Linked DNA regions of Notamacropus eugenii. The protein of the gene in region 1 purifies or fractionates together with the protein of each later gene. This does not show direct contact. Links are inferred from orthologs where the notes say so. Each region holds a gene or a part of one and is shown in the gene's direction. Other genes may lie near its edges.

Region 1 (7,298 bases):
GAACTATCTTTAATAAAGGGCTCAGTTTCGAGGGCCCTCCTCACTCCTCTCCCTCAGATTACCTTGTATGTCCTTTGTTTATATTAATTTATGAATAAGTTGTGTCTCCCGTGGAATATAAACTTGTTGAGGGAAGGAATTCTTTCTAGCACTGAGTCTAACCTCTTTCTTTCTTTCTTTCCTTCTTTCTTCCTTTTCTTTTCTTTTTTTCTTGGCATCCTTGTGGCATAGCATAATGCCTAACTCATAGTAAGTGCTTAATAAATGCTTCCTCATTGAATGATTTGGGGGGAGAGGCGTAGAGAAGGGAATCAAGGCATTCGCCTCAGCGGGGGCCACCTTGTTCCATCTAAAACTTTTCCATTTCCAGGTCTGAATCCTGACTGTCAACACCTGTGTGACCTTGGGCACATCACTTCACCTCAGTGGAACTCAGCATGGACTAGAGAGATAACCTCTAAGGTCTTGGTCTGAAAAGAGTCCTCTGGTTTCCCTTCAGAACTACACTAACCATGGCTGGGAGGTTGCCCACTTCCCTCCTTCACTGGCTCAGTTTCTCAGGTATCCTAGGTCCTTTCCTTGCCTTTGACATGCCACCCCTCTCCCACCCCCCCATCCTTACTCTAGATTCTTCTTGCTGAGTGCTAAGGTTCAGTAACAAGACCTGTGGGCGCCTTCTACTTTTCAGTACAACGCCCCAGTAGCCCTGCCTTAGATACAGCTCAGGCACTGTTCAGAGCAACGTGGCCTCAGCATAAAATACATCCACTTTTGGCTATTTCTTTATCAAGGTCATTCTGCTTTCTTAATGCAGAGAGGGAAAGCAGAGTTTGGTAAATTGAGGCACAGGGAAATTGGAGCAGAGCTACGCTTAGAATCCAAATGGTAGTGTCTCTGTTCTACCTGGCAGTCCCAGAGAAGTAAACGCCAGACAGCTCTTTACTGTTCATTTTCTTTCAAATTTATTTCAAACCCAGTTCAGATTCTTAGGTGGAAATACATCCAAGGGATTAGTCTTTTTTTTTTTTAATCTTCCAGGGACATAATACTCACTGAAAGGTATGGGATGGGGGCTCCATTTGGAGGTGGGATCCCCTCCAATTGAAGGATTTGTCCAAAAAATTGTTAGGTAGGGAAGGGGAAATTCTTTGGAGAGTTCTATTTCTATTCACTCTGAGGGTCTGAACTAGGACATAAGGCACGTAAAGGACTTTCCTGGGGATGGTGGTAGTGGGGTGGGAGTTAGGGGGTATGCAGAGTGTGATAAGAAAGTTCTCTTGGCAAATGGTGCCACCTCGTGGCTTAAATGGGGTCATGTAAACTGATATGAGAGAAAGAGACAATGACAGAGACAGAGACAGAGAGACATAGACAGAGACATAGAGACAGATATTGAATCCAGATACCAAGGTGTTTTCTATGGCCATGGAAAAGATGAACCCTCCCCCCCCGGAAAATCATAAGTGAGACAAATAACGATGAAAACAGGAAGAGAAGTAGTGGGACAAGGATGGAGACTCAGGGAGAGATGTGCCAGAGGAAAGGGAGACTGAGGAAGGATAGGGGAATGAAAAGCAGAGGAGGAAGACAAACCGAGACATCTAGATCCCCAAGAAACTGCTTAGTGGCCTGGGCTCTTTACTCTGCTGGATAAAGAGGCAACGGGATGGGAAGGCAAAGAACTCTGCCCCTCTGGAGTCAGAGGACCACCGATTTAGAACCAAAAGGGATTGTAAAGGTCATCTGGCTTGAGCCTTTTATTTTACAGATGAGGAAACTGGTTAACAGACTTGCCCAAAGACTCCCTGGTGGAAGAGGCAGGATTCACACCTGTAGCCACTGATTCTAAGGCCAGCCCTATCAGTAGATCTAGGTTTGAATCCTGACACTGTCACTACCTGTGTGACCTTGGGCACATCACTCCATCTCAATGGAACGCAACATGGACTAGAGAGATAACCTCTAAAGTCTTGTTCTGAAGAGAGTCCTCTGGTTTCCCTTCAGAAATACACTAATCATGGCTGGGAGGTTGCCCACTTCCTTCTTCCAGTGGCTTAGTTTCTCAGGTATCCTAGGTCCTTTCCTTGCCTTTGACATGCCACCCCCCTTCCCATCCTCACCCTAGACTCTTATGCTTGGACCCTAGTTAAATGATACTCCCCAGTCTTGATGGAGGATCTGAGAAAAGACCTCTGTCACTCACCTGCTCGAAGCCGATAACCTGGCTACTGCATCCTCGACCCAATCCCAGGGCAGAGCCTTCTAGGGTGGCTGAGAACAGAATGAGAGGGGCTGAGGGGAATTCTGACTGCTCCCTGGCAATACCAGCTGCCAGCACTATGACCAGCCACCTTGCCCTCCTGTTCTTCAGGATGCGGTCTGGGCAGGAAATGTTGCTGATGGGGCCCTGAGTCATTCTGGGGTTTCAGAAGATGTCTTGCCCGAGGGCAGAGACAGGTCACTGTCTGGCCCCTCTCTGGTTAAATCTCCCCTTCTCCTTCCCAGCCTGTTGTAGTAAAACAAGTGATGAAGATAAAACAACCAGGGATTTTCCTCTCCAGCTAAAGCAAGGGCAAGGAATGACAAGGTGGGCAGTCCAGAACACATCCCAGGACAAGGGCCTTCCCACAAAGGACTCCACTGGGCGGGGGGAGTGGTTTGGGAAGAGGCTTAATGAGAGGAAAGGGCATACATAATGGGGGCAACATCCCCAGTGCTGCCAGGCATATCCCCCAAACAGCAATTCTGAGGGCGTTCCCAGGGGCACCAGAGATGCCTTTCCTTACCTCACCCCCTGAATAGGAAGGAGAATTCTGTTTCTCTCACAAGCAAACATCTATCTGTCCCTTCCTTTGTTCCTTCCCTATTCTTGCCCCTTCTTGGGGAGGGAATGGCGGGTAGTGATGCCTACTTTTTCGGCTGGGAGTTGGAGTTGGTATCTTCAAGACAGCATGTCTTCCATTCTGGTAAATGATGTACCTTTTTATCATTGGGAGCCTGGGATTTGTTTTTTCTTCCTAGGTTATTCCCCGAAGTTATACGCTCACCCTTGTAGAGTTTGGGGGGACCAGATAGGTCATCAAATTCAGTCCTGACAATTTAATTCACTTCAATAAACATAATGTTTTGGACAACGTGCTAAGTCCTGGTGACTGTTGTGTTTGTGTTTAGTTCTTGAAGAGGACCATGACATCAGGGAGAGGATGACACTACTTGCAGTTGACTTGGATTTGAGGGAGAGAGGGCTGTGCAAGGTCACCAATCTCGCTTTCTCCCCCAGAGCCATCTGAGTCCAGAGACCTGATTTATCAGGAGGACTGGAGATGACCCAGGATGCAAGGGGAGACTCTGGCCTTTTTAGGCCTAGGTCACTTAAAGTGAGAATGTGATAAGTACTGGTGATACAAAAAGAGGCAAAGTTCAGTCCCTGCCCTCAAGGAACTTCCAATCTAAAGAGTGAGAGACCAACAAATCTATGCAAAGCAAGCTATAGACTGGATAAATAGGAAATAACTAACAAAGAGAAGGCAGTGCAATTCAGAAGGTTGGGGGAAGACTTCCTGTAGAAGGTGTGATTTTAGTTGGGACTTAAAGGGAGTCAGGCTGAGGGTTCTAGGCCTGGGCAACAGGGAATTGTCAGGAGTTGGGACATGAATATCTTATTCTGGGAATAGGCAGAAGGCCAGTGTGTCCCTGGATCAAGGAGTACTATTTTACAGATTATAGGAACTGAGGCCCAGAGTGGCTGAGTGAATTGACCAAGGAGTACATAGGTCCCAAACAGCAGGGCTGGGATTTGAACCGAGATTTTCTTCCAACTCCAAACCCAAGGCTCCTTTCACTATGGCACAAGGTCCTAACCCTGGGGAAATGGGATATTTCGAAGGGTCCGTTCTCCTGGCTGGAAGGTGGAGGCAGATCTCCGACTTGGAGAGGCACCAGGCCACCATCCCGGCTGGCCCCCCGAGGGAGGGAGACCTTTAGACAATAAACTTCGATTAGGCCCGGACTCCGAGCCAGGCACCGTGCTAAGAAAGGTACCGGGCAGCCTCCGCCCTCCCCGAGCATCCACAGCCGGGATTCAGAAGTAATCCGGGACTTTGTCTTGCTTGGGGGTGGGGGTGGAATGGAGGAAAAGGAGAGTGGAGGAAGGGGCGTGGGGGTCTCCGGGCTGTGGCTTTCATTTTTGTACCCCGGGGTCTGCTGGAATGAAAAGTGCAGGGCGCCAGGCGCTCCCCAGATCAAAGGCGCTCTCTGAGGCTGGGGCCCTGAAAATCTGGGCAGACACAGGGGGGTGTGAGGGGCCCTGCACCACCCCAGATCAGGGGCAGAGGGGGCCTCCCAGCCCCACAGGCCCCTGGCCTCCATGGTCCCTGCGCCTACTGGACCCTTCGATCCCAGGCCGGGGTCCTGGTCCCCCCCCCGTGGACCTGGATTCCCGAGCCTCCTTCAGAGCCCCCCTTCCCTCTGGCCCTTGGTATGCCCCATGGGACAGATGTCTTGGGATCTTTAACATTTGGGATGCAGCAAACGCCGAAGTTAAATGAAATCCCCGCGGCTGTGAACCAGTCAGGGCAGCCTCCTTCCGGGAGCGGGAGCGGGAGCACGCTGCGGGAGGCGGGCTCCCAACCTCTGCGGGGACCCTGCGGAGAGGGCTGGCGAGGCAGGCGGCCGCCCCCCCGTGCAGGTGAGGCTGGGGGCTGGAGAGGGGCCGGCCGGGGGTGGGGGTGCGGAGTGCGTGGTGTGTGTGTGTGGGGGCGCGAGACCGGGCACCAAGACGCTGCGGGGGGCGACTGGACAGATCGGGGGGACGCGGGTCTCCCAAGCAGGACTGCCTGCGTTACCGCCCCCCCTCCCACACACACACCGTGGAGGGAGGAGCCGTGGAATAGGGATCGTGGGTGAAGCTAAGGCTGGACGGTGGGGGGCAGTGGGGGAACAGGACAAAAGAGTTCTTTAAAGAAGGTGGAGCGAGGTCTGACTTCAGTACCCACTCTAAGCCTGCCTCCCGCTTGTTCCCCTGCCTCGGACTTCTGCACACACACTCACACACCGGAGCACCCTTTCCAAGGTAGGAGACCTGCCCTGAACTTTGAGGTGGGGGAGCCAAGGGAGAGAGGGGGGCACAAGAGTGAACTGATTGCCATCAGTTCTTAATTGGCCTGGGCTGTTTCTCTCCTTTTTTTTCCTGTCCCCTACTTGGTCTGTCTGTCCCTGTGGTTGAATGAATGAACAGTATGAATGAAATATACCTGCCTCTGCTTTAGATACTTTAGATGATACAGAGATTAAGATAGGCTTCCTGCCCTCACTCAGCTTACCCTCCACTAGACCAGTTTACCCTAAACCTCTAGAATAAGAGGCAACTTTGCTGTATCTTTAAGAGACTAAAAGGAAGAGTCCCCACTCTCACCCCTTTTTGAGTAGGGAAGTCTGTGAGACTTTGAGTCATTCAGTTCATACCATGGGAGAAAGACATGGATGAAGGGTTGAGTTAGGAAAATCTAGACGCTTAGCAATCCAGTGTCTGGAAGACACTATCCTTTGCTAAATAGTGGGTCAAATGGCCCCAAGGGTCCTCCAAAATTGCTCAGGCCTATTCAGAGTCCCTCCTATCAAAGCTGTTTTCCTTTCGACCTCAGATTGACCCTCCCTCACTTTCCCCAACACATACTCTTTAACTAATCCATGTTATGTTAGTGTCCCCCAGAAGGTAGAGGAAGTGCTGGGAGAGAGGGGAGCAGAGAGCATCCATTTAGGTCAACCGGAACTCTAGGGATTCAGTGAGAACCAGATTTTAACATCAATATGGTAGAAGATACACTTGCTTCCTCATGCTTCCTCATATATTACACTCAGGAGGTGTGGGAAATTCTCATTATTCCTAGTCCATCTTCCTAGCTGGAGCCTAGAGCTGTGGGTTGCTTCCCTACTTCTTAGAAGACATACCTCTAAAGATTGCTGCATTCTCTTCAGGCTCCCAGTAAGAGGAGGTGGGGGGGGGGGGGGGAGGGGATTTTCCCTGCCTGGGCCCCTCAGCAGCAACCCTGAGGTCAGCTGTGGAGGGAAGGATCTGGTGGTCAGCTGGGAGGGCCTCGGGGAGGGTATTGTTTGGAGAGGGTGTGGGTAAGGAATGTGAGAGAGCCGGCTAGGTGTAAGGGGAAAAGGGGGGAAATGGAGGAGATCTAGCTCTGGGAAAGCAATAAAGGGGGAGTGGGGAAGAAAGGGGTTTGGGAAAAACAGAAACAGGCCTAGAGCTGAGTTGGTGGTAGGCCTGGGGACAGCATTCAAAACTCAATGACTGGAATCCTCTGCAGAGGGGACTGGTACTAGTTTCTGGTTGCTATTTGGTAGCCCTGGAGTTTTCCACTTGAAACTTTGGCTCTTGGAAGGCTTTGGAGACCCTGAGGTGTTGGGAAATTTCAGGATGAAAAAATTCAAGAAAACTGATACTCAGTCTAAAACATTCCATATCTGACCCTCAGTTTCTTTCTCTGTTAAATGGGGGTATTGGATCCATCATAATCCTACAAGTCACACCTCCTATAGTGCTTTAAGGCTTACAAAGTACTTTACCACAGCAGCCCTGTGAGGTAGTTAGTGTGAGTATTATGATCTCCATTTCATTGTGAGGAAAGGGGTCCAGAGAGTTGAAGCATCTCATAGCCAGTGTCAGAGGCAGGATTCATGTCCTGATATAGCCTCCCATATCCTGACATCCTGCTACACCATGAAAGAGTCATAGAATGAAGATGTGTGACCACAGCTAGTCGCTTCTCTCAGTGACCCAGGTAACTCCTGAAGACTAAATCACATAAGAGTTTTGAAGTGCCTGCTGGGTATTCCCTTACACTAATGGAAGCCTAGGTCTAGACCTCCCCAAGGTACTGTTCTAGGTATACAAAGATATCAGAGATACAAAAATAGTCATTCCTCATTAGCATACTTTTATCAGGTATGTCTAACACCATATTGAATGCTAGGAGTGATATAATACTTGACTTAGCTGAAGCCTCAGACAGCTTATAGTCTAATGGGTATAGGGACGTGAGGATGAAGGAAGAATGCACCGAAATGAAGGAGAGTGAGATAGGCGGAAAGGGAGATCCAGGCAAACGTAGGAGAAATTTGGGGAGGCAGAGGTCACTTGCATGTTAGGAAGGTGGTTAAGAAAGCATTCATGGAGGATGAGGCAGCTGGATTGGGATATCAAGAAAAGGAAACACTTTAGAGAGAGATGGACTCCGAATGGAGAGAGATGTGGAGGAGTCCTTTCCAGGTGTGAGGACAATGGAAGT
Region 2 (7,268 bases), about 36 Mb from region 1:
ATATACCTAATAATGAAATAACTATGACTTTGAAAGTCAATATAGTCTAGAAATACTAAGTAAAGTATAATGATTATTAAATGAGTTCTTACTACATAGTGAATGGAGCAATGGAGTTGGAGGTGTTTAGGTTAAGGAGGAAGTGACACCTTTATTGCTTCAGCTGATTTTGACTGTTCTTTAATTGTCCCAATCAGTACATTTTCTTGGGGTCCTTCCTAGAGGGAACTGACAGAAGGAGCTTGTCAGTGGGAGAGGGAGCCAGTCCTACCAGATATGCAAGGGAGGAAACCCTCAAAGAGCTAGAACTAGAACGTTTGGGCTTTATTTTCATAAAAACAAAACAAAAAGATTACTTTTATTAAACTGTTTCCTGCTTTCAAAGTGAACAGGTCTCATTTCACTCATCAGGTTCAGAAGGGTATTCATTAAATAAAGATGACCAATGTTTAAATTCCTGCCATTTCAGTAGACACAACGTTGGCTGTTTCCTACTTGAGATCCCATCAAATGTGATCATTGATTAAAACCCGAAAGTCATCAGGTGACTCACCTAGGATGACAGCAAACAGGGCTACCCAGTTCCTACAGAAACCTGAAAAGTTGGTGGTTGGGCTCGGAGCGACATCGCCCCAGGCGTTATCTGGTTCCCGGGGATAACGATCCTGGGGCAAGGATCTTTTCCAAGAGAATCTGGTTTCAATCAATAAAGGGTGCTTTGCTAACGGTTCTTGATTAATTTTAACCCAACAGCGCCTATGAAAGCCGACTTTAGAAGACTCCAGGAAGCAGGATGCGTTAAAGAGAACATCAAGAAATAATGGGGTGAGGGGTATAGGGGACAAGGCCTGGGGAACGATCATGAGAGGAAGGAGAAGCGGTGCTGGAGGGATGAGGAGGACACCCCGACAAGGAGGAGAGAAAGGCCATGTCTCTGAAGCTAAGCAACGCCCCGGATCCCAACCCTACTCCGACCCTGGGCACATCAAGCCTTCCCGGGCATCAGGCTGCCCGCGTGGCGGGGAGGAACTCACACAAGTGTTGGAAAACACACAAGTCACGAGCTACCGGAGGAAAGATCCAGGAGCGCCGGCCCAGACCGTGGAAAGAAGCCCGGGGAAGCCCGGGGCTGGGGCTGCGGTAAACGACCCGTAACTCACCCCTGAGACTCCGCTGATAGTGCCCCAGAGCCTCCTCCAGGGCAGAGTCCCCCAGAGCCTCCTCCAGGGTAGGGTCCCTCAGGGGCTCTGCCGGGGCAGGATCCCCCAAGGCCTTCGCCATGCAGTGACCCCGGCCCGTAGAAGCTCCTACAGAACCTCCTCGGTGGGCAACGGGCCCACAGCCTCCTAGCTTCCAGACCTCGCTGTCAGAGGGGCGCCTGAATGGCAGGACCTGGCTGGCGGGAGGGGGCGGGCGCTGTCCACCCGCGGGCCCCCATGATGGATAGTGGAAGTTGTAGTCCGTCAGGTTCTCGTATTGCCGCTTTCTAGACCCTGAAGAAGTCTACGGAACACTACAGTTCCCAGGAAGCACCGCGCACAGGGAAGAGACAGTTTGGCCTCCAAGCTCAGTTGCCTGGAGACAGCTTGGAGGCTCCACCCTCCCCTTCCTTCAGACTCCAAATTTCCCCCTCCCCCATTCTCGTTTCTTAGGCAGTCTGGAACACCCAACTACCAAAAAAATGAGCTTCTGAAGATCTTTGCCCTACCATTGTTGGTTGTTCTTCATCTTGGAAGAGGACCAAATGACAACACCGTGTTAAAGTGAAATTTCAGGGTGTCTGCTGTGGCTGATCAGACTGATATGAGCTCAGAATGCTCTACCACAGGATGGGCACAGGTAGTCCCCGTGAATATTTGGGCTGGATACTCCAAATTTGTGCATTCCATGTTTACTTTGTGCTGTCTCAATTCTGCTTTGTTCATAGAGCACAGCTCCCTTTCTGATATGGGCACACCATGCTGAGCAGTCCTGTGCCCGTGTCTCCCATGTTGCACAGGTAAATACAAAGTTCTTAAGAAAGACCTTTAGAGTGTCCTTGTATTGCTTCTTCTGGCCACCATGTGATCGCCTGTCCCATATGAGCTCTCCATAAAATAGTCTTTTTAGCAAGCATACATTTTGCATTGGAACAACGTGGCCAGGCCATCCCAGCTGTGCTCTCTGAAGCATCGTTTGAATAGTTGGCAGTTCAGCCCAAGCAAGGACTTCAGTGTCTGGTACCTTATCCTGCCAGGTGATCCTCAGAATTGTCCTAAGACAGTTCAAATGTAAGCTATTCAGTTTCCTGGCATGGCACTGGTAGACTGTCCATGTTTCACAAGCATATAACAATGAGGTCAGCACAATGGCTCTGTAGACCTTCAGTTTGGTAGTCAGTCTAATACCTCTTCTCTCCCAAACTTTTCTTCAGAGCCTCCCAAACGCTGAGCTAGCTCTGGCAATGTGTGCATCAACCTCATTGTCACTGTGTAAATCCCTGGAAAGTACACTACCAAGTTAAGTGAACTTATCCACAGCATTCAAAACTTCTCCATTTGTTGTAACCAATGGCTCCACACATGGATGGTGTGGTGGTGGCTGATGGAGCACCTCTGTTTTCTTGGTGTCAATTATTAGGCCAGAAGTAGCACAGGCAGCAGAGAATTGATCCATACTTTGTTACATCTCAGCTTCAGAGGCTGCATTGAGTGCACAGTCATCTGCAAACAGAAAATCATGCACCAACACTCCCTCCACTTTGGTCTTGGCTTGTAACCTTTTCAAATCGAAGAACTTACCATCAGTATGACAGTTGACCTTGATGCTGCGTTCATCCTCATTGAAAGCATTTGTCATCATGATTGGAAACATCATACTAAAAAAGCATGGGAGCAAGCACAGAGCTCTGTTTCACTCCATTGATGACTGTGAAGGCACGAGAGTATTGTCCATTATCCAGAACCTAGGCAAACATACCATCATGAAACTGACATACAATATTGATGAATTTTGACATAATTCTCCATAAGCCCTCACAACTAACAGTGTCAAAGGTCTTGGCCAGATCTACAGACATTGTGTACAGACCTCTGTTCTGCTCCTGGCATTTCTCCTGGAGTTGTCGGGCAGAAAACACCATATCAACTGTTCCCCAGCCCTTTCTGAAGCCACACTGGCTCTCAGGTAGACCATCTCCCAGGTAAAGGATCAACCTATTAAGAAGGACTCTAGCAAGAATTTTGCCAGCAATGACTAAGAGAAAGACTCCCCTGTGATTGTCACAGGACAATCTATTTCCTTTACCTTTATAGAGATGGACAATGGAGGCATCCTTGAACTCCTGGGGATAACCTCCTCTTGCCATATAACTTGGAAAATTTCAGTTAGATATTGTATGAGCAATGGTTTCCTTACCTTGTAAATGTCAGCTGGAATAGAATCAGCATCAGATGCTTTGCCACATGAAAGGATCCTAATGGCCCTCAAAACTTCTTTTTCAATTGGAAGTTCAGCTAAGGAGAGATTGATTCCAACCTGAGGAAAATAAATGGTCAATGGCCTCAGCATTGATTGATGATGGTCTGTTGAGAATACTATGGAAGTGTTAAGCCCATCTCTCTCGGATCATGTCCTTATTATTAATCAATGTGGCTCCATCAGCACTGAGTACTTGTGAAGCACCACAGGTTTTTGGTCCATAAATAGGTTTTAGGGAATCAAAAGCACTTTGGATTGTTACCATCAGAATAAAGCTGAATTTCTTCTGCCTTCTTACTGAGCCAGGAATCCTACATCTCTCTAAGCTTTGCTTTTGATGGAATTAAATGCTGCCTTCTTAGAGGTGGATGAATTATCCTGCTGGTAAATCCTGTGGAGTTCTTGTTTTTCATTTACCAGCTTCTGAATTTCCCCATCATTTCCATCACACCAGCGTTTGTGAGCAAATGCAGGGATGTACACCAAGCCTCTGAAAGTTTCCCACTCCTTTTCGGCTCCAGTATTGCCAGTTGTGTATAGGCTCAATTTTCCCTCCAAGTCAGCAGCAAACTGTTCATGCTCAGAGAAGAGCTCTAATTTGTTGACATTAATTCTTCTGGTAGTTATTTTGCCTTGGGGCGGGGGGGGGGGGCGGCGCTTTTGATGAATTCGAATATTTAGTTTGGAAAGGATAAGTCTATGACCAGTCCAGCAACTCTGCATCACATATTGCCTTTGTCACTCTCCCATCTTGTCTGTCTCTTCTCCTTACAATTACATAGTCTATTAGATGCTAATGTTTGCTGTAAGGGAGAATCCATGAAGTTTTATTGTGTTTAGGTAGAGGGAAGACAGTGTTGGTTTTGATCCATGGACTCCTACAATTAAGCGAATGAAACGTTATGACTCCTTTTTTACGGTTCCATCTTCGATTACTACTACCAGGAGTAGCCTTGGCTGGAGAAAAAAACTCAATTTCAACAGTGAAAGATGTGTAGTTCCTGGAGACTACAAATCCTAGCATGCCAAGGGAACTGGCCAGTTGTCGTGGAGTTGGCGCACTGCCCCCTGGGATCTGTAGTCCTTGTTGGTTGCAGTCCAAGCTAATGACAGTAGTTTCTTCATTGTTTCTGCCGGTCCTAGGGGCACGCTTGCGCAGTGGGCTGCTGCGAAATCGTGTGGGTGGGACAACGACCCTCCAGGCAACTCCTTTTCATTGTCTGCCTTTGGCGCCTGCGCAGTAAGAGAGAGCTGGGGGAGGAGGAGGGGGCAGGGCTCCCTCCCCGGCCTCTCCTGACGCGCCTGCGCAGTGGGCGGCCGCTCTCTGCCGTTACCGCTATGTGTGGGGCGTGTGTGGAATAACGTTATTGCCGAGCACGGTGAAGAGAACGGGGAGTCTAGGGGCGACGGCAGCGACGACGACTACGACGACTACGGCGACGGGTTGGCGGGGGGACGGCGTGCGAGAGACTCACGGGACGCGACGCGCCCCGCCTCCCCCGTCCGGTCCCTCTCGCTATGGTGAGGGGTAAGTGATGCGCTCTGCTCAGCCGCCTGGCTCAGTGATGCCGTCGCCGCCGCCTCCCCTTCTCCAGATCCTCTTTCTAGGAGAACCCCTGGTGTGCGGCCGGGCTTTCGGGGTGGGGGGAGTGCAGCTGGGAGAGGAAAAGGGGGGGGGGTGCTGCTTTCCGGATGCTCCTCGCGCCGCGCCCCCCCCCCCCCCGCCCCGGGGGATTCGGCGGCCCCGCCTCCCGGCCCCCCCCTTCCCTCTATTCCCTCCGGGCTCCGCTGGGCTTTGCTACCCAGGCGGCCTCGGCGGCTGCCGGCTGACTCCTCCCCCTGGAAATGTGCATTTATTCATTTTGTGTTCCGTGGCTTTGTGCCGCTCCTCCCCGCGCCGAGCGGAGGGCGCGAGGGGACGGATGGGCGGGCGGGAAAGAGCCGCTAGCGGCGGGGACACTCGGGAAGGGGACCAGATCGTGCGTGTGTGTGTGTTGGGTGGGGTGCGTCTGTGCGTGTGTGTGCGTGTGTGGCGGTGTCAGGTCCCGCCTGGCCGCGGTCGCAGCCCCGCCGTCCTCACCCTTCCCTCCCCGGAGGGAGGAGGCGGCCTTCGTCGTCCCCCTCATTGTCCCCGCGATGCCCCGGCGGGTGTCGGCTTTGGGTCGGGCTCCTTCCGTATGGTGCCCGGTGTGGGTCTGGAGGCTGTGGGGCTCCTGTCCGCGTTACATAAGCCTCCTCCTACGTGGGTCTCGTCTTTATTCCGGATTTCTTTTGTGTGTTTTTCCACAGCCTGTATGTAAGCCTCTGGAGGGCAGGGCCCGAGTGTCTGAGAATCTGGAGGTGTTGTAGCGCTCCGTGGAGCGAGGCTCCCCCAGGCCGGCGCCGGAGCGCGCGTGGGGAGCCCGCGTGGGGAGCCCGCGAGGGGCTTTCTTTTGTTTTCCTGCCGTGTGGATCCTGTACTGGTGTGCCTTATTTCGGAAGAGTTCTTTTGTGTTATTCTTCAATCAGCCGTGCCCAAGGCGTGCACTCGATGTTTACGTGTTTGTTTTAAGGAAACATCACCGGGTGATGGATAATATGTAGATGAAGTTTTTCATGATTCAGTTCCTAAATAGTGTTGTTTATAACTGAATACTGGTCAGACCGCAAATAGAGGGAAGGGAGGAAAGGACAAAGCAGGATGAGGAGGAAATCAAGAGAAAGGGGGAAATGCTGCTTTGAATTCTCTATCTAGGGTTGTCACTCAATTATGAAAATGCCAAGTGGTTGAAGAACGTGTTTCAGCCATTATGTGAAAGCCGGGTTTGCAGTGATTGCTTTCCAACTTTGAAGATAATTGCCATGTACCAGCATAATAGACTCATGTTAGGAAGGCACCTTATCATGTACACAGTCTCTCTGTTTTGTAGATGAGGAAGTGAACTCAGGTGTATACATTGTGTTTTGTCTAAGATTTTTTGAGAAATTAGTTGCAGTCTCCAGAGTAGCATTTAGGAATGCCTTTTCCTGAGTAGTTTTTTTTTTTTAACCCCTTTACCATAGTACTGTCTTTGCAGAGGTTGAACTGAATTTTTTATTTAGTACAGAGTGCATTTTTTTTGCAGTACTGTACATATTCTTTGGGTTTTCTTTCACAATCAGAATAATTGATAATGATTTTACACGTAAATTTTTAAAAATAAGAAGCCAAAGTTCTAGACAAATGAAATTAGGGAAATGAAACTTATGCGTAGGCATCATTAACTTGTAGAAAAATGGGTTCTAGTCCTAAAATGGACTTTTATCTGAAGATAATTTGTTATATATGCTCAATTCCACTATAAGTGATCTATCTGATCTTGACCCTCTATTACTTCTCCACCCCCAGATCTATGATGTTTTTGGTGTAGGGAACTCCAGTTAGAGGAAATTCCCTCTACCAGTGCATATTAGCAATTGTTCTGTAACTAAATCTTAGAGCATTGTTTGAGGCACTGAGAGAGTAAAAATTCTTTTCTTAGGTCACTCCTTGCTTCTCTATGATAATATATAATGTTTGCAATTGTAGCAGCCATATTGAAACCATAAGAATCAAAAATAAATTCAACAAGGTAAATAATAGTTCTTTTGTGTTCCCTGGCTAAATAATAAAAATAACTAGCACTTACATAGAGCTTTAAGGTTTGCAAAGTGCTTTACATAAGTTTTTCAATTCTCTCAGCAGTTCTATAACATTATTAATATAAGGTAACCGAGACTGAGGTTTCAGGGACTTACTCAGAATCGGACAGGTATAAGCTTCTCAGGTTGGGAGGAGAAAGAACAGTCCT
Region 3 (7,034 bases), on another chromosome or scaffold:
CTCTGAATGATGAGATTAATAATGAGATCTGCCCTGGACAAATGGGCTGGCCAATGAAATGAAGACTTATCTGAACAGGATATTCACAGAACTCTGAGCTTTCACCCTTTGCCTGCATATTCCTGATTACCTCATCTCCTTGCCCTCGTGGCACATTTCCTGTATTAAAATCCCTAGCTTCTCCTGACTGCTGCTGCTGTCTCACTGAATTAGAGTCCACTGGGTGCATCACTCCAAATCGATGCCCTTACTTGATTTGGAGACAGTCTGAGTCTGAATTCTTTTGAGACAACATTGAGACCCATGCCCTGCACTTCAACATGAAGATGTGGTCTGCTGCAGAGAATCATCTTTGAAATTCTATTTGTTCCATTTTGGTATTTTCGTGAAGAACACCCATTACTAAGTGTAAAGATCATTTTCATAAACACCTGACATAGGTGAAAAGCAGAACTATGAACTAACTCCTAATATCTTCTTGCACCTTTTCTGACATTAATGCTGTGATTTTTACCATTTTTACAATCTTCTCTTCTTAGAGGATTTCACTTAATGTCAGGAAGACCTGAGTTTAAATCTTGACTCAGACACTAGGTGTGTGACCCTGGGAAAGTCACTTCTTAGTCTACTTTAAGTTCCTCATCAATAAAATAGGGATAACAAAAACACCTACCTCCAATGGTGCTTGTAAGAATAAAATGAGGTATTTGTAAACTGCTTTGCAAACCTTAAAGTATATAAATGCTAGCTGTTTATTATTATGATGATAATGGTGATGATGATGAATAACAATGCCTTTTAAATTGTGTTGTGTCCAATACAAGATTTTGTTTGGTTGAGTCTTCAAATATTTGAAGAGTTATATGGAAGTGGGATTAGACATTCTCCTTGGCTCCAGAGAATAAAACTTGTACAATGAATGTAAGTTACAGAGAGGAAGTTTTAACTGCTAACAGTTACAATTGTCCAACAATAAAATAGGCAACTGTGTGGAATGGCTCAGGTCCCTACATAAATCAATTACTCAGAGGACTCTCAAAGTGATGACAGAAAAGTGATTTATTCGATTCTCGAGAAGCGGGGCTAACCTGTAGGAGTAGGAAAGCTGAAGACAAAGAAAAGGGCAGTGATTTATATAGACCCTAATGCAAGTCCCTCCTCCCCCCACTGACCATCATCCTCATTAGCTGAGAATATGATCTTACATTCTAGACACGAAATCTAACCAATCCCTTTTGAAATGAAGACATCGAGGAATTACATAAGTTTTATCCAGTCATTGAGACCCTAATATACTACACAGTTTTATATCCTTATATGGAACTATTCTATTCTAAAAATATTGTAACCTTGAGCCTCTAGGTCTTACCTCACTCCTGGGAGAAGAATTACAATCTGAGAAGTCTTCACTAAACCTATCCCACTCACTCCCTATTGAGGTAATGAGCTCCTTGTCACTTAAAGTGTTGCAGCACAAATTTTGCCCTAAAGAAGATACGAGATCCCAAAGAGATCATAAAAATGGGAAAGGGTCTCATGTACAAAGATGTTTATAGCAGCTCTCTTTGTGGTGGCCAAGAACTGGAAATTGAGGGGATGCCCATCAATTGGGGAATGGTTGAACAAATTGTGATATAGAAATGTAATGGAATACTATTGTACTATAAGAAATGATGAACAGGAAGACTTCAGAGAGGCCTGGAAGGACTTATACGAAATGATGCTGAGTGAAAGGAGCAGAACCAGGAGAACTTTGTGCACAGCAACAACCACAGTGTGTGGGGAATTTTTCTTGTAGATTTAGTTCTTCATAGCAATGCAAGGACCTAAAAAATTCCCAATGGATTTTTGAGGCAAAACGCCTTTCACATTCAGAGAAAGAACTATGGAACTGGATCGCAGAATGAAGTAGACCATTTTCTTTTGTATTATGTTTTGTTTTATGGTTTCTCCTATTCATTTTAATTATTCAACATGACTACGGTGAAAATGTATTTAATAGGAACATATGTGTAGAACCTATATAAGATGGCACGCCATCTTGGGGAGGTGGTGGGAAAGGAGGGGGAGAGAGGGGAAAAAATCTAAGATACATGCAAGTGATTGTAGAACACTGAAAACAAATAAAATAATTTTTAAAAAAAGATATGAGAAGAGACCTACACCCTTCTCCTACTCTTTTTGCAAAAATGGGGGAACTATGGGGTTTACAACATTGAATATATTGTCAGAGTTTTTTAGATATATTGATTGGTTTTTTTCTCTCTTATTTTTCATTTTTAAAAAATTCTTTGTTACAAGGGATGACTATATGGAAGATGCAAGGGAGAAGGATATAAGAAAAAATTAGGTGATGTAAAAACAAAAGATTATCAATAAAAATTTATGTCTTAAAATGTTTAAACAGATGCTAGGTAATAACAATTATTATTTATATAATTAGCTTTATAAAAATCGTCTAGTTTCTATCTTCACAAGGACCCTGGGAGATAGGTGCTATTACTGCATGAATTCACAGATGAGAAAACTGAGGCAGAAAAAGCTTAAGTGACTTACCCACCTAATAAATGTTTGAGGTAGGATTTAAATTCAGGTCTTTTTCATTCCAAGTACTGTGCTCTCATCATCTAGCTATTAGGAATGAGTAGTGGAATTTCATTAGGAAGGTCTGATTAGATAGTGATTAATCTGAAATTCAGAATTTGTCCTGTATTACTTGCTACTGTTTTATATGCATTCCTAGAAACTGAAGGTGAAGGATACAAACATCTCTCTAAACTCTTCATGCCAAGTCTTTCAGTTCTATGTTTAGTGATGCTAACCGACCTAACTAGGTAAGGTCCCAGTGATACAAAGTAGCTGTATGATCTGCGTGGGGGAAACACCTACTTTCTTTCAGCCTTAGGTGTCTTCCTTATTAAATGAAGAGACTCAGTTGGATGATTTCTGAACTGTCTTTCAGCTCTTAAGCATCTGTCACTCAGTGGACCCTAGGACAGGTACCTACTCTACACTTCTCCATCGTCCTCAGCAACGACCCCCCTCACTGATGATACTAAGAAGTAGATGGTTTGACTTCGGGCAACTAGGGGGGCGCAGGGACAGAGTGCTGAGCCTGGAGTCAGGAAGACTCACCTTCCCGAGTTCAAATCCGGCCTCAGACACTTACTAGTGGGAGCGTGGCCCAAGACCTGGGGGTGGTAGTAAGCAGGGGAGCTGGTCCTCTGTGGGTTCTGCCCCTCGACACCGCCCACTGCTCCTTTTTCTGCCCAGGTGCAGGCTGTTATCACCTGAAACATCGTTCTCCTGTACCTCGGCCACACCAATTTTCCTAAAATACCTCTTTCAGTATGAAAGCCCTTGTATGACTCCCTCTCTTCTCAACTCTACCTCCGTTTCCTCATCTAGCTGGAGAAGGAAATGGCAAATCGCTCCGGTATCGTCCCCAAGAAAACCCCAAATGGGGTTCCGAAGGGTCGGATACGACTGCACAGCAATTAGCAGAAAACCTGAGCTCCTAAGGCTCTGTAATACAAATCCTCTACAGATGAACGCAGAATCTAGAGGAACGTAAACCGGGAACGTGTAACAGGAAAAAAGACAAGATTCTGAAGCTTGCCAAACGCAGGACTTAAAACTACATTTCCCAGCAAAGAGCACGCCGGGCCAGCGCGTAGAAGTCGAGTCCCGGGTCCCTTTCCGCAGTCTCTTTGGAGAGAAAGACTACATTTCCCGGCAGGCCATGTAGGTGCGCATACGCAAGCGCACTAACATTCCCTAGCCCGGGAACGAGGATGAGAAAAGTTCAGGGGGGTTGTTGCAGTTGCCGTCGCTGCGGTCTTCATCGCCTCCGTCACAGTGGGCTCGTTTTGGCTCGTCCGCGGTAGGTGGGTTTAGGTAGCAGCCATGGGCCTCAGGCGGACCAGGGGAGCGGGGCAGCGGGGAGCGGCAACATCTCACCCGTTGTGCTCCCCCCATCCCGGGCCAGGCTGTGGTGCCCCAAGACACTAACAGTACGCATGCGCACCCTGCGGGGCTCCGGGAAGGGGGGCTGCGGGGAGGGGGGAGAGGTCACGCACCCGCCGCGGAGGGTTCTTTGTTCGCCGGGGCCGCGCCTGGCGTACCACGTGGGGGGCGGCCTTTGGAAGCACGTGGGCTGGTGGGGAGGAGGCAAAGCTTTCCGAAGCACGTGCTTCGGTGCGAGGAGCGCGGAGCGCAGGAGGAGCTGCGGGCGGCCATGAAGGAGAGCATGGCTTCGGCGGGTCCTTCTCCCGAAAGCCGCGGTAGTGATAGTGGCGGCCGTTTAGAAAGCCCCTTAGAGCGCTCCTTCCTGCAGCGCCACGAGGTCGGTAGCGCGAGGGAACCCCGGGGCTTTCCCGGGAGCTTGGGGGCCGACTTGAAGTTGGCTTAGTTCTTGTTCCCCAGCCGCCTTGGGAGGTAGGTAGTGCCAGGATCACCCCGTTTAACGGAGGAGGACACAGCGTCACCAGGTATCCCAGCCTGCCCAAGGTGCCGGGGCTGGTAGTCAGTGGGGGAGCCGGCCCCCTGGGGGGTCGCCCTTCTGCGCAGGTTCTGGGGGTTGTCCCCCGAATCATGGCTCTCCCGCCTTTCGGTCTGAAAGCCCTTCCCTGATCTCCTCTTTCTTGTGAGATCAGGTCCAGACTCCTTTGGTCGGAGTTGACAGGGAGCCCAAATGAAGAATTTTTCTAGGTGGAGACTTGTGTATGTTAGAAGGTAGTGGGGTTGCAGCTGTGTAAAGGGAGAAGTTACAGGTAAAAGCATCATATCACGCACCCCCAACCCCTTCATTTCCTTCATATGAAAACTGAGCTGCAGAAAAGCCAAGGGATATGTCTGAGAACACTTCAGGTAGTAAACTGCTGGGATAATAAACAGATGGGGAATTAATCCCCCAAATATTCTGATTTCTGTTGTAAAAAAGGAAAAAATTATGGGAACAAATCCCTTTGGGAGTTATAAGGGATGAATTTAGGAGGACAGCAGATTTCCTTGCTTTTGGTCTTTTCCCCCTTTCCAAAGCATCTTATTGCTAGAATAGTTTGAACGCTGAATTTGGAGTCAGAGCACCAAGAGTTCAGATAGCAACTTTTTTATTTACTACCTGTATAGCTTTGGGTAAAAGTGGCTTTCTCTCTGGGCTTTCCTCTCTGAGGAAGCTGACTTACAGATCTCTGAGGTCCTTTCTAGCTGTAAAAACTAGGTTCCATTAAATCAAAATTATCCAGGGTCCTTGCAGTCCAGGGCCCCTTCAAACAGTTACCTTACTGTGTCTTTTCACCTGCTATTGCTTCTATACATGACCCTTCTTTTTTAACCCCACTTGTCTTAACAGCTTCTGCAGGTGCAATGCTATCTCCTCCTTGTTGTTGTAGGTTCCCCTTCAGTAGAATTTCCCTTGTTTTTTAGTAATCTTAAGGCCTTCTGCTAAGACACATTTTTGCCTGCCAAACCTCATTTAAAACTTGGAATTTCCTTAATACCTGTCAGTAGTTTGAGACCTACTATAAACTAACTCAGTAATTCATAACTGATAAAGTTATCGTTTTTTCTTAGTATTAGCCTCATAGAATCTGGAGTTGGAAGGACATTTTAGTGATCACTTAGTTTTACAGATGAAGAAACTGAGACTCAGAAATAAATTTATTTGCATAAGGTCACAAAGCTAGTGAGTGGCATAGCTTTTAGTCCCCTGACTTCAAATCCAGTTTTTTCTCTTATCTCATGGATATTGCTTTTCTTCTTGATAGATTGTAAGCACGGGGAGGACATGGACTAAATCTTCTTTTTAAAATACCCCTGTTGTTATTGCAATGCCATGCTTTCTGAGCAACTTGTTTGCAATTGTTGCTGGATGAATTAAACTTACTGAATGCCCCAGTGTGGTTGGTCCTTTAGGAGCCTCCCCTCCCAGAGGTTTTTGACCATTCTTTTCTTCCCTTCCATTCCCCTTTCTCACAGAAAGCCATATTTACCACAGCCATGGCTCTGGTGTCAGCAGACTCGAGAATAGCTGAACTACTCACGGAGCTCCATCAGCTGATCAAGCAAACTCAGGTGATACTTGATTCTTCTCCTCAGAAGAGGGGATGACCTTGGGAAGACTCAGAGGGTGATTAGAAAGGGAATTAAGGTCCCATAGGCTTCCTTCCTACAGTGCTGAAAACATGATTTTAGAATAAACCAGTATTAGAGGTGCTGTTCAGTGCCAGAGGAACAGCGTTGTAAGTGGTGGTTCCTGAACAGAAAAAAGAACAGAAGTCTGGGGGGTTGGAGAAAAGGCTAGAGGACAAGTGAGCTTTAGGTCTGAAGGACAGGAGACTAAAGGGAGCAGAGGTTGTTGGACAATCTGATAGCTAAAATTGCAACTGAATTGGCTATAAAGTATTAATGATGTTATTTTGAAATGTTGATTAGATGTTCCTAAGTCATAGTAAGGGAAGTGAGATATTCAGGAAGTTTGGGGGTTTTATTTTCAAGTTTTATTAATTTTTTCTTCCCCATTGTACCATTTTAAATAGTTAAGCAAAACATGGATGAGGTATATATATATGTGTGTGTATACACACACACACACACACACACACACACACACACACACACACACACACACACACACACACATATATAGGAGAAACTAGGTATGCATAATGGTTACAATAAAGTTGTGGATAGGTGTATGTTTAAGCAAAGTTTTATTGATGAAAATAAGTAAAAACCCTAACCTTCCCTGCTTCCATTTCTTTAATTTCTCTCTTGTAACCAAAAAAAAAAAAAAATGAGTAAAACCAACCAACATAGAGACCTCCATCTGCATCTGAGAGACGTAGGGAGCGCAGTGGAAAGAGCATTGGCTGAGGACCCAGAGGCCTGGGTTCAAATCTTGTCTTTGATGCCGTCTGACATTTCAGAAGTGATATAACCTCCATGAGCCTCAGTTTCTTTATCTGTAGAAGGAGGAGGATGGACTAGATGACAATCTGAAGTCCTTCAGCTCTCAGATCTTTGATCCAAAT
Region 4 (7,927 bases), on another chromosome or scaffold:
CCGGGGCCCCGATGGTTTGTGGCGACAACGTTGTCTTCTTGTCCAGGGTACCTAGGAAGCCACAATTTCCAGTAGCCCTTGGGTTTGGGGCTGTCCCCATCCACGGCCCTTGGATTGGGGCTGGAGACCCAGGAGCTTCTGAGGGATCCTATGGCTAAGGACCGCAGCCCCCAGCCCTCTGAGGCAGGGAGGGCATCCCCCTGTAGTCTGTAGAACAGCAGCCTCCGGCACTCCTGGGAACTAGGGGCTCCCTGAAGAAGCCATGACCGCCACCCAGTCTGGAAGCGAGGAGCACCCCAGGGGTTCACAAGAAGGGAAGTGTGACTCTTCCCTGGTTTGGTTGAGTCCCAGTAGCTCATGGGAAATGTGGCTTCCAAAGGCACAGTCAAGGCCAGCTGGGCCCCAGTGGAGACTGACCCTGGGAAGCCCAGGTATCATCGTGGTGTTCTCGGAAATTCCCATCCTGTGGAAGGGCTAGGACTGGCCCTTCCCTGGGTGGGGAAGTCACTCCTTCTAAATTCCTGTCCTGTACACTGGCTCAGGGCCTGCTCTGGCCTCAACATCCTGACCCTACTTTGGGAAGGCCACCTTGAGAGTGGTAGTTCAACACTGTCCAAAAGGAATTGGGTGGGGGGAACAGATCTCATTTGAGGTTGAGGAAGGAGACCTGCTCATACCACCTCCAGGCCATGTCTCTGGGTCCCCTTCTGACTTGTGAAAATCATTTCTTGTGTCTTTCTCCATTTCTGTGTGTTCCACCCTGGCCTCCTGGCCCCTGGTGTCTTTGTGGATGGCCCTTGGTGCAGGCCGCTTCCCCATTTCTGCTGCATTGTTTTGGGGATGGCCTGATTCTGTTTGCATCTTGGTCTCTCTCTCCATCCTCACATTACCTTTTCTTTCATCTCCTTTTCTTCCCTATGTGTCTGTCTCTCTGCTCTCTCTGCCCTTTGTCTCTGACTATCCTGTACCTGTCCCAGCCTCGAGTTACCCCAGAAGGCGAGTACATTCCCCTGGATCACCAGGATGTGGACGTGGGGTTTGATGGGGGTACAGACCGCATCTTCCTGGTGTCGCCCATCACCATTGTCCATGAGATCGATGCTTCCAGCCCCCTGTACGAGATGGGCCGGGCTGAGCTGGCCAGGGCGGACTTTGAGCTGGTGGTCATCCTGGAGGGCATGGTGGAAGCCACAGCCATGACCACCCAATGCCGCTCGTCCTATCTGCCAGGGGAACTCCTGTGGGGCCACCGTTTTGAGCCTGTGCTCTTCCAGAGAGGGGCCCACTATGAGGTGGACTATCGTCACTTTCACCGAACCTACGAGGTGCCAGGGACCCCCATTTGCAGTGCTCGGGAGCTGGAGGAGCGTCGGGCCCTGGGGGACAGTGACAGCCCTGGGCCCAAGGGTGGCCTACCCGGCACCCTGGCTGCCTTCTGCTACGAAAATGAGGTGGCCCTCAGCTGCTGCCAGGAGGAAGATGAGGTGGAGGAAGAGAGGGGTGAAGCCCAGGTGGAGGGCAGCTCTGGAGCTCCCACCCCACCCCCACCTCCATCCCCTGAATTGGCCCCACCTCCTTGAAGGGCTGGGGGACTGCAATTCCCAGTATCATGGACCTTGGCTGCCTCAGTGGTGCATCATGTTACACCCCTCCCCAGGAGTTGTGGGAGTTGTAGTCCTAGGTTGGGGAGCAGCTGGAATCTAGGCCCAGGGACTCCCCTACAGCCCTAGAGCCCCTTCCTTCTGTGGGGCATGGGCTAGGATGGAAGGGGAGGCAATGCATGCTTCCTGAACCCTGGACCTTAGGAATGGGGGAGGTGGTTTATGGGTGGAACCTTCTGGATGAGTTGAATCCATAGCCCCTCTTCACCAGTTTCCCAACAAGGGGGAATGAAGGTCCCCCTCCCTTCTACCCCTATGGACACCCTCACGTGACTCCTCCCAAGTCCTTTCCTTCTGGGCTTAATCCTGCCTGGAGTCCAAGAGGTAGGGGGTGGCCAGGGTTGTTCTAGACCCCTCACCCTCAAGAAAAGACTGGGACCCAGGATACCCATTGGTCCAGGCCCCTGTTTTGGGAGAGGACAAGCCATGGAGGGTCCCAGGTCCTGGGGCCATGAGGAGCCTGGCCTGGCCTCCAGGCTAAGAAGCATCCTGGATGCTCTGGGCCACCCAAGTAGCCAATGTCTTTCTCCAGAATGCCGTGCATATTAACTATCTACACATTTATATATATACATATATACTCTCCATAATTTTTCCTGATTTTGCTGCAGAAGGGGTGGGCAAGAGTGGCCTTGGTCTCAGGAAGGAGGTCATTCTGGGCAAGCAGGAGACCTCAGACTGGAATCCAGCCCCTTTCCCTCTGTTTCTCCTGTTAACCAGAGCGGGTTGGAATGTGTTTCCTTCAGCTTTGCCAGCTGGGGAGCCTATGACCTCCGCACCCTGGGAGGTGGCATCGCTCACTAGCCTCACTGGAGACTTTACTGGAAGGCCCTAGAACAAAGCAGGTGGTGTTCCTGTTAGGACCTGGCACGGCCTCTGGACACTGGGAAAGCTGCAGCATGAGTCACCCCAGACTGAGCCCTGGGCTGGGCTGCCCTGCCTTGCCCCTGCCTAGGCTCTGGGGCAAGTGAGGAGGAGACTGAAGGACCCTGGGGTCCTTTCCACCATTGCCTGGGGGTGGAGGGAACCGGCTTGCCCTTGCCCCCAGAATAAAGAATTGTGAAGCCATCTGTGTGTGTGTGTGTGTATGTGTGTCTGGGTGAGAGGGGTGAGGGGTGGCTGCCACCCACAGTCCTGGCCCTTGGCCCAATGCCTCATTTTCATGAGTGTGCCTAGGGAGAGGTGCCAGCTTGCAGTGGGGGCTTGAGTCAGGGGAAAGAGTGGAGGCACCCAGGATCCCATCTGGGCCCTCCATCCTCCCCCCTCCAACCCCACCCCTCACAACCTGGACCTTGGGCTCCCTCCTGCTTCCTGGAGCCCATGCTTGGGTTCAGGGTCTTTCCCCAGGGTCCCAGCTCTCCCATATCCCACCGTACTCCAGAGACCTCATGGCCCTTTTTGCCCAGTCCCCCATCCTCCAGAGGCCCCATCCCTCTTTCCCCAGCCTCCTAAGGTCTCTTTCATCCCTCTGAAGCCCTGTCTTCCCCCTTCACCCCACCCCCCTCCTATGGCCTTTATCCATCAGTAACCCTGATAAGGACCGGAAGGAATTAATTAGCCAGGCCGCTGCAGGATTGTAGGGGGAGAGAAGGTGAGACCTGAGGCCTCAAAGGGTGGGGGGAGTGCTGAGGATGCCCAGGTGGGATCAGGAGGTAGCCTAGGGAGAAGGGCATGGCAGAAGACCTAGGACCCCTTCTTGGATACCAGGAAGAATATGGGAGCTTCAGACTTCCTGAAGGTCAGAACAGGGACAGGGAGGGGATTAAGAGGCAGAAACTTTTTCCATGGCTAATCCCTGGGGGAAGCTGGTCACCTGGAGGTGAGGAAGGGAGCCACAGCAGGGTCATCACCTCCTTTTTCCCTCCTGTTTCTTCACCAAGAAAAGAGCCCTACCTAACTGTGCACTCAGAGAACCTGGGCCTCAGTTACCTCATCTGTAAAACAAATGGATTGGATTAGAGGTCAAAGATTCGCTCCCACTAGAGATGTGGTGCGTGGACCCTGAAAAGGGGAGGGGTGCACAAAGGCAGAGTTAGATTTGCAAGGGGCCAGAGGTCATCTGGGCCAACTCCATCATTTCGGAGATGGGAAAAGAGACCCAAAGGTGATTTGGTCAAGGTTCCCCCAGGCAGGAAGTAGCAATTTGGAAATGCAATCCCTACTAGGAACTATGTGGGGGAACAGGGGAAAGGACAGGAGCCCGAGAGGAGGCAGGAGGAAACAGACAGAGTGTGAGAACTGAGGTGAAGGGAGAGGGACACCTCCAGAGGAAGACGCAGTCTGCATGGAGAGGGAGGAGATGAGGAGGGGAAGGAGTCTGGATAGAAAAGGAGTCAAGGGAGATGAGGAGAAGGTGGAGGAGAAGGGGAGAAGTCTAGATAGAGGGGGAGGAGTCAAGGGAGATGGGGAGGAGCCTGGATAGAGAGGGAGGAGTCAAGAGAGATGGGGAGGAGTCTGGCTAGAGAGGGAGGAGTCAAGGGGAGATGGGGAGGAGTCTGGCTAGAGAGGGAGGAGTCTGGATAGAGAGGGAGGAGTCTGGATAGAGAGGGAGGAGTCAAGGGAGGGCCCAGAGTGAGGCTAGGAGTCTGAGAAGAGTCTGGGCAGAGGAGAGGAGTTTGAGAATGATGGGATCTGAAGAAATGATGAGAAGTTAGAGGGAAAGGGGTGGAGCCAGAGAAAAGGGGAGGAGCCAGAGGAGAGGGCAGGAGTCTAAGAAGGGGAGGAGTCCATGGGAGAAGGGAAAAGGATTTGGTAGAAGCACAGGGTGGGTTCCCTTAGAAACACCGCCCTCTTCCACAGCCTTCAGCTGTTGCTAAGCAACGGAACTTTTTTTCTTTCTGGATCCCAGCTCTGTTGCCGCCCCTTAGCAACGCACCGGCTTGGAGAAAGGCTACCTCCCCCCGTCTATCTCTCGGCCTTCTCACGCAGGCGCAGACACTCTTGCCCATCTCAAGCCGAAGCCTTCCCTAGTCTGCTCCCTGTCACTTTTTCAGGGGTTGATACTCCCGATTCTATGCGCACCGCCCTCCTGAGCCGGGCCCCAACCGTCATTGGGTCCAGCTTGAGGGGCGGGGCCCTGAGCCCCTTCCACGGAGTTCCATTGGCTCGCTCGGTCACCCTCCCCTTGTCCACCGAGGCAACGCGGCCGCCTCACGCCCCGCCTCCGCCGGGCTTCATTGGCCCAGGTAACCTGCCCCTCGACGCCCATTGGGCCCACGGAAGCCAAGCTCAGGTTCCCATTGGTCGGGGGGCGGCCCCAAACGAGAGCGGAGGCGGTGGCGGCGGCGGCCCCGGGAGCGGCCGAAGGGGCTGAGCATAGCCCCAAGGACCTGCGGAGAACCGGTGGCCCGAGCCACGCTACGGGCCCGCGCCGGGCTGCCCTGGTCACCATGGAGGACGGAGTCTATGGTGAGGCGAGCGCGGAGCGAGCTCCGGAGGGCTGGGGGGCTGGGAGGCGACGGGACGTTCCATTCCATTGTTCGGGACGATACCATTTCCGGCCGGCGCAGGGGGGCGTGGTCGAAACCATTCCCTGGGCGAGTCCATTTCCTGCCTATGGGATGTACTATCCCAGGCGCACATGGGGGGGGCTCCCTTGGATCGGGAGACACCATTTTTCTTGGAAGGGGGAATCATCCCAGGAAAGAATGAAGGCGAGGGTGGAGTTTGGGGGGGCAGTTGAGTGGAGATAAGGGGGAAGAATCCAAGGCTTCTCTCCCCCAACCCCGCTCCCAAACTTAGTCCTAGTGTTGTCCGTGCTCTCTGCCTCAGTTTCCCCGGGAGACCTTTGCGCACCTTTCCCCAGACATGTCCCCGCACGCGGTCACGCGCGGACGCACCACCCCTGCGGCCAGCCCTCACCCCCCCCCCGTGTCCCCCAGTACCCCCAGACCTGACCCCCGAGGAGCGCCTGGAGCTGGAGAGCATCCGGCGGCGCAAGCAGGAGCTGCTGGTGGAGATCCAGCGGCTCCGCGATGAGCTCAGCGAGGCCATGAGCGAGGTGGAGGGGCTGGAAGCCAACGAGGGCAGGTGGGCAGCGTGGCGGCTGGTGCCCAGGACACGCTTGTTGGTGCAGCTGCGGAGCTGGCTGCCCTGGGCCACCCTTCGGTGTCAGAGAAGGGGTTGGGGGGCCCTGGGACCCAGCCCCAGCCGGGAGCCCCGAGACCCCAGGGGACCCCAGCGGGAGCCCCGAGACCCCAGAGGACCCCAGCTGGGAGCTCCGAGACCCTAGCCAGGAGCCCCGACACCCCAGGAGACCCCAGCCGGGAGCCTGAGACCCCAGGGAACCCCAGCTGGGAGCCCCGGGAGCCCCAAGACCCCAGCGGGAGCCCTGAGACCCCAGTCAGCCCTGAGACCCCAGGGGACCCCAGCCGGGAGCCCCAAGACCCCAGCCAGGAGCCCCAAGACCCTAGGGGACACCAGGAAACCCCAGCTGGGAGCCCCGAGACCCCAGCCCCAGCTGGGTGTGGGTAGGTGGAAGGTTCCCTAGCTACTCACAGCTCCCCTTCCCACCCTTGCAGTAAGACCCTGCAGAGGAACCGCAAGATGGCCATGGGGAGAAAGAAGTTCAACATGGACCCCAAGAAGGTGCCAGGGCTGAGGGCAGAGTTATCTGGGAGTGTTGGGGGGCCATCAGACCCCACCTCACTCCCACCCTCTCTCCTAATCCCTCCGCAGGGAATCCAGTTCCTGGTGGAAAATGAGCTGCTGCAGAACACGCCTGAGGAGATCTCCCGCTTCCTGTACAAGGGTGAAGGCCTCAACAAGACGGCCATCGGAGACTACCTGGGGGAGCGGTGAGGGCGCAGGAGTGGGCACAGGGCAGACATAGGCATGAGGCAGGAGTGGGCATGGGGCAGGAGTGGGCATGGGGTGGGCAGCTCACAGTGTGCCCTTTGTCTCCCCCCAGGGAGGAACTGAACCTGGCTGTCCTCCATGCCTTTGTGGATCTGCATGAGTTCACGGACCTCAACCTGGTTCAGGCACTGAGGTGACTGCAAGCCCCCCCTACTTAAGGAAAACAGCCAAGACCAGAGCCCACCTCTGTAGGACCCTGGACAGGCAGTGTGTCCACTCCCAACCTGTGACCAGGGGGGCCCTCTCCTTGCTGCCCCTCTGCCTCTCAGGCTCCCATAGCAAGGGATGGGAGTCCTTTCCCTGCTGCCCCTCCTCACTGCCTTCCATCCCCCTCAGACAGTTCCTATGGAGCTTCCGCCTCCCTGGGGAGGCCCAGAAGATTGACCGCATGATGGAGGCTTTCGCCCAGCGCTACTGCCTGTGCAACCCGGGAGTCTTCCAGTCCACAGGTGGGCCTGACCCAGGGCACTCAGAACATTACCACAGTATCCACTGTTTGCTGGCACATTTTGGGGATGCAGAGAAAGGCAGATGGGATGGGGTGGGGTGGTGGGGCTGAGGGCAGGGCAGGAGTAGGCCATGGGAATTTTTCAGGGAGGCCGATTTAGGGACTTCCCTGCAATCCCAGAATTCCCAGAGAGGAAGGTGGTGAGCTCCCCTTTCCCCTCTCCTTCTGCCCCTCCTCTGAGTGCAGACACCTGTTACGTGCTCTCCTTTGCGGTGATCATGCTCAACACCAGCCTGCACAACCCCAATGTGAGAGACAAGCCGGGTGTCGAGCGGTTCATCACCATGAACCGGGGCATCAACGACGGCGGTGATCTTCCCGAGGAGCTGCTCAGGGTGAGGCTGCCACCTGCCCCTATCAGCACCAGCCTGTGCCCACAAATGTTGGGCTAGGGCCCTCTCTGCCATCATCGTGGGCTGGTTGGCTTCTCCTGCCACCTCCCCCCACAACACCTAGCCTGTGCCCATAAATGCTGGGCCAGGGCCCTGTCTGCCATCGCTGTGGGCCGGCCGGCATCTCCTGCCACCATTCCACCCCTGCCAGCCTGAGCCTGCAAGCACTGGGCCTTCTCTGCTGTGGCTCTTGCTGCTGCCTGGCTGGGCTCTCCTTCCCTCCCTGCCTGGGTCCCTGCAGCCTCTATCCTCCTCCCTCCTGTGAGCTGCCCCTCTCTCCCAGACATCTCTCAGCTTGAGGTCCTCATGCACCCTCCCTTCTCTTCCTCTCAGAACTTGTACGACAGCATCCGCAACGAGCCTTTCAAGATCCCCGAGGATGATGGCAATGACCTGACCCACACCTTCTTCAACCCTGACCGGGAGGGCTGGCTCCTCAAACTGGGTACGGCGCCCGGGGTGGAGCACTGGGGAAAGGGCCGGGCGGGCCGGCCGGGAGGGGGCTGGGG

The links.
Region 2: the proteins of INAVA (region 1) and CEP170 purify together in Homo sapiens (co-immunoprecipitation; 3 studies listed by BioGRID and IntAct, counting the BioPlex papers as one, with this or other methods). This does not show direct contact. The link is inferred for Notamacropus eugenii from reciprocal best matches to the Homo sapiens genes INAVA and CEP170.
Region 3: the proteins of INAVA (region 1) and SGF29 purify together in Homo sapiens (co-immunoprecipitation; 3 studies listed by BioGRID and IntAct, counting the BioPlex papers as one, with this or other methods). This does not show direct contact. The link is inferred for Notamacropus eugenii from reciprocal best matches to the Homo sapiens genes INAVA and SGF29.
Region 4: the proteins of INAVA (region 1) and CYTH2 purify together in Homo sapiens (co-immunoprecipitation; 3 studies listed by BioGRID and IntAct, counting the BioPlex papers as one, with this or other methods). This does not show direct contact. The link is inferred for Notamacropus eugenii from reciprocal best matches to the Homo sapiens genes INAVA and CYTH2.

The regions. Positions count from the first base shown.
Region 1 is NC_092873.1:439,804,410-439,811,707, reverse strand, and holds the start of INAVA (innate immunity activator protein), read left to right. Parts: upstream 1-4,284; 5' UTR 4,285-4,479; coding exon 4,480-4,687; intron 4,688-6,629; exon of another isoform or gene 6,630-6,791; intron 6,792-7,298. UniProt on the Homo sapiens protein: Expressed in peripheral macrophages and intestinal myeloid-derived cells, is required for optimal PRR (pattern recognition receptor)-induced signaling, cytokine secretion, and bacterial clearance.
Region 2 is NC_092873.1:404,072,418-404,079,685, reverse strand, and holds the start of CEP170 (centrosomal protein of 170 kDa), read left to right. Parts: upstream 1-4,253; 5' UTR 4,254-4,987; intron 4,988-5,539; coding exon of another isoform or gene 5,540-5,585; exon of another isoform or gene 5,586-5,813; intron 5,814-7,268. Other genes in the region: SDCCAG8 (serologically defined colon cancer antigen 8), read right to left, coding at 1,161-1,281.
Region 3 is NC_092872.1:46,716,039-46,723,072, forward strand, and holds the start of SGF29 (SAGA-associated factor 29), read left to right. Parts: upstream 1-4,025; 5' UTR 4,026-4,237; coding exon 4,238-4,345; intron 4,346-5,979; coding exon 5,980-6,075; intron 6,076-7,034. UniProt on the Homo sapiens protein: Chromatin reader component of some histone acetyltransferase (HAT) SAGA-type complexes like the TFTC-HAT, ATAC or STAGA complexes.
Region 4 is NC_092876.1:12,827,915-12,835,841, reverse strand, and holds the start of CYTH2 (cytohesin-2), read left to right. Parts: upstream 1-4,917; 5' UTR 4,918-5,050; coding exon 5,051-5,069; intron 5,070-5,466; coding exon of another isoform or gene 5,467-5,542; coding exon 5,543-5,690; intron 5,691-6,181; coding exon 6,182-6,248; coding exon of another isoform or gene 6,249-6,338; coding exon 6,339-6,457; intron 6,458-6,570; coding exon 6,571-6,651; intron 6,652-6,854; coding exon 6,855-6,967; intron 6,968-7,212; coding exon 7,213-7,361; intron 7,362-7,751; coding exon 7,752-7,927. Other genes in the region: KCNJ14 (ATP-sensitive inward rectifier potassium channel 14), read left to right, coding at 978-1,580. UniProt on the Homo sapiens protein: Acts as a guanine-nucleotide exchange factor (GEF). Promotes guanine-nucleotide exchange on ARF1, ARF3 and ARF6. Activates ARF factors through replacement of GDP with GTP.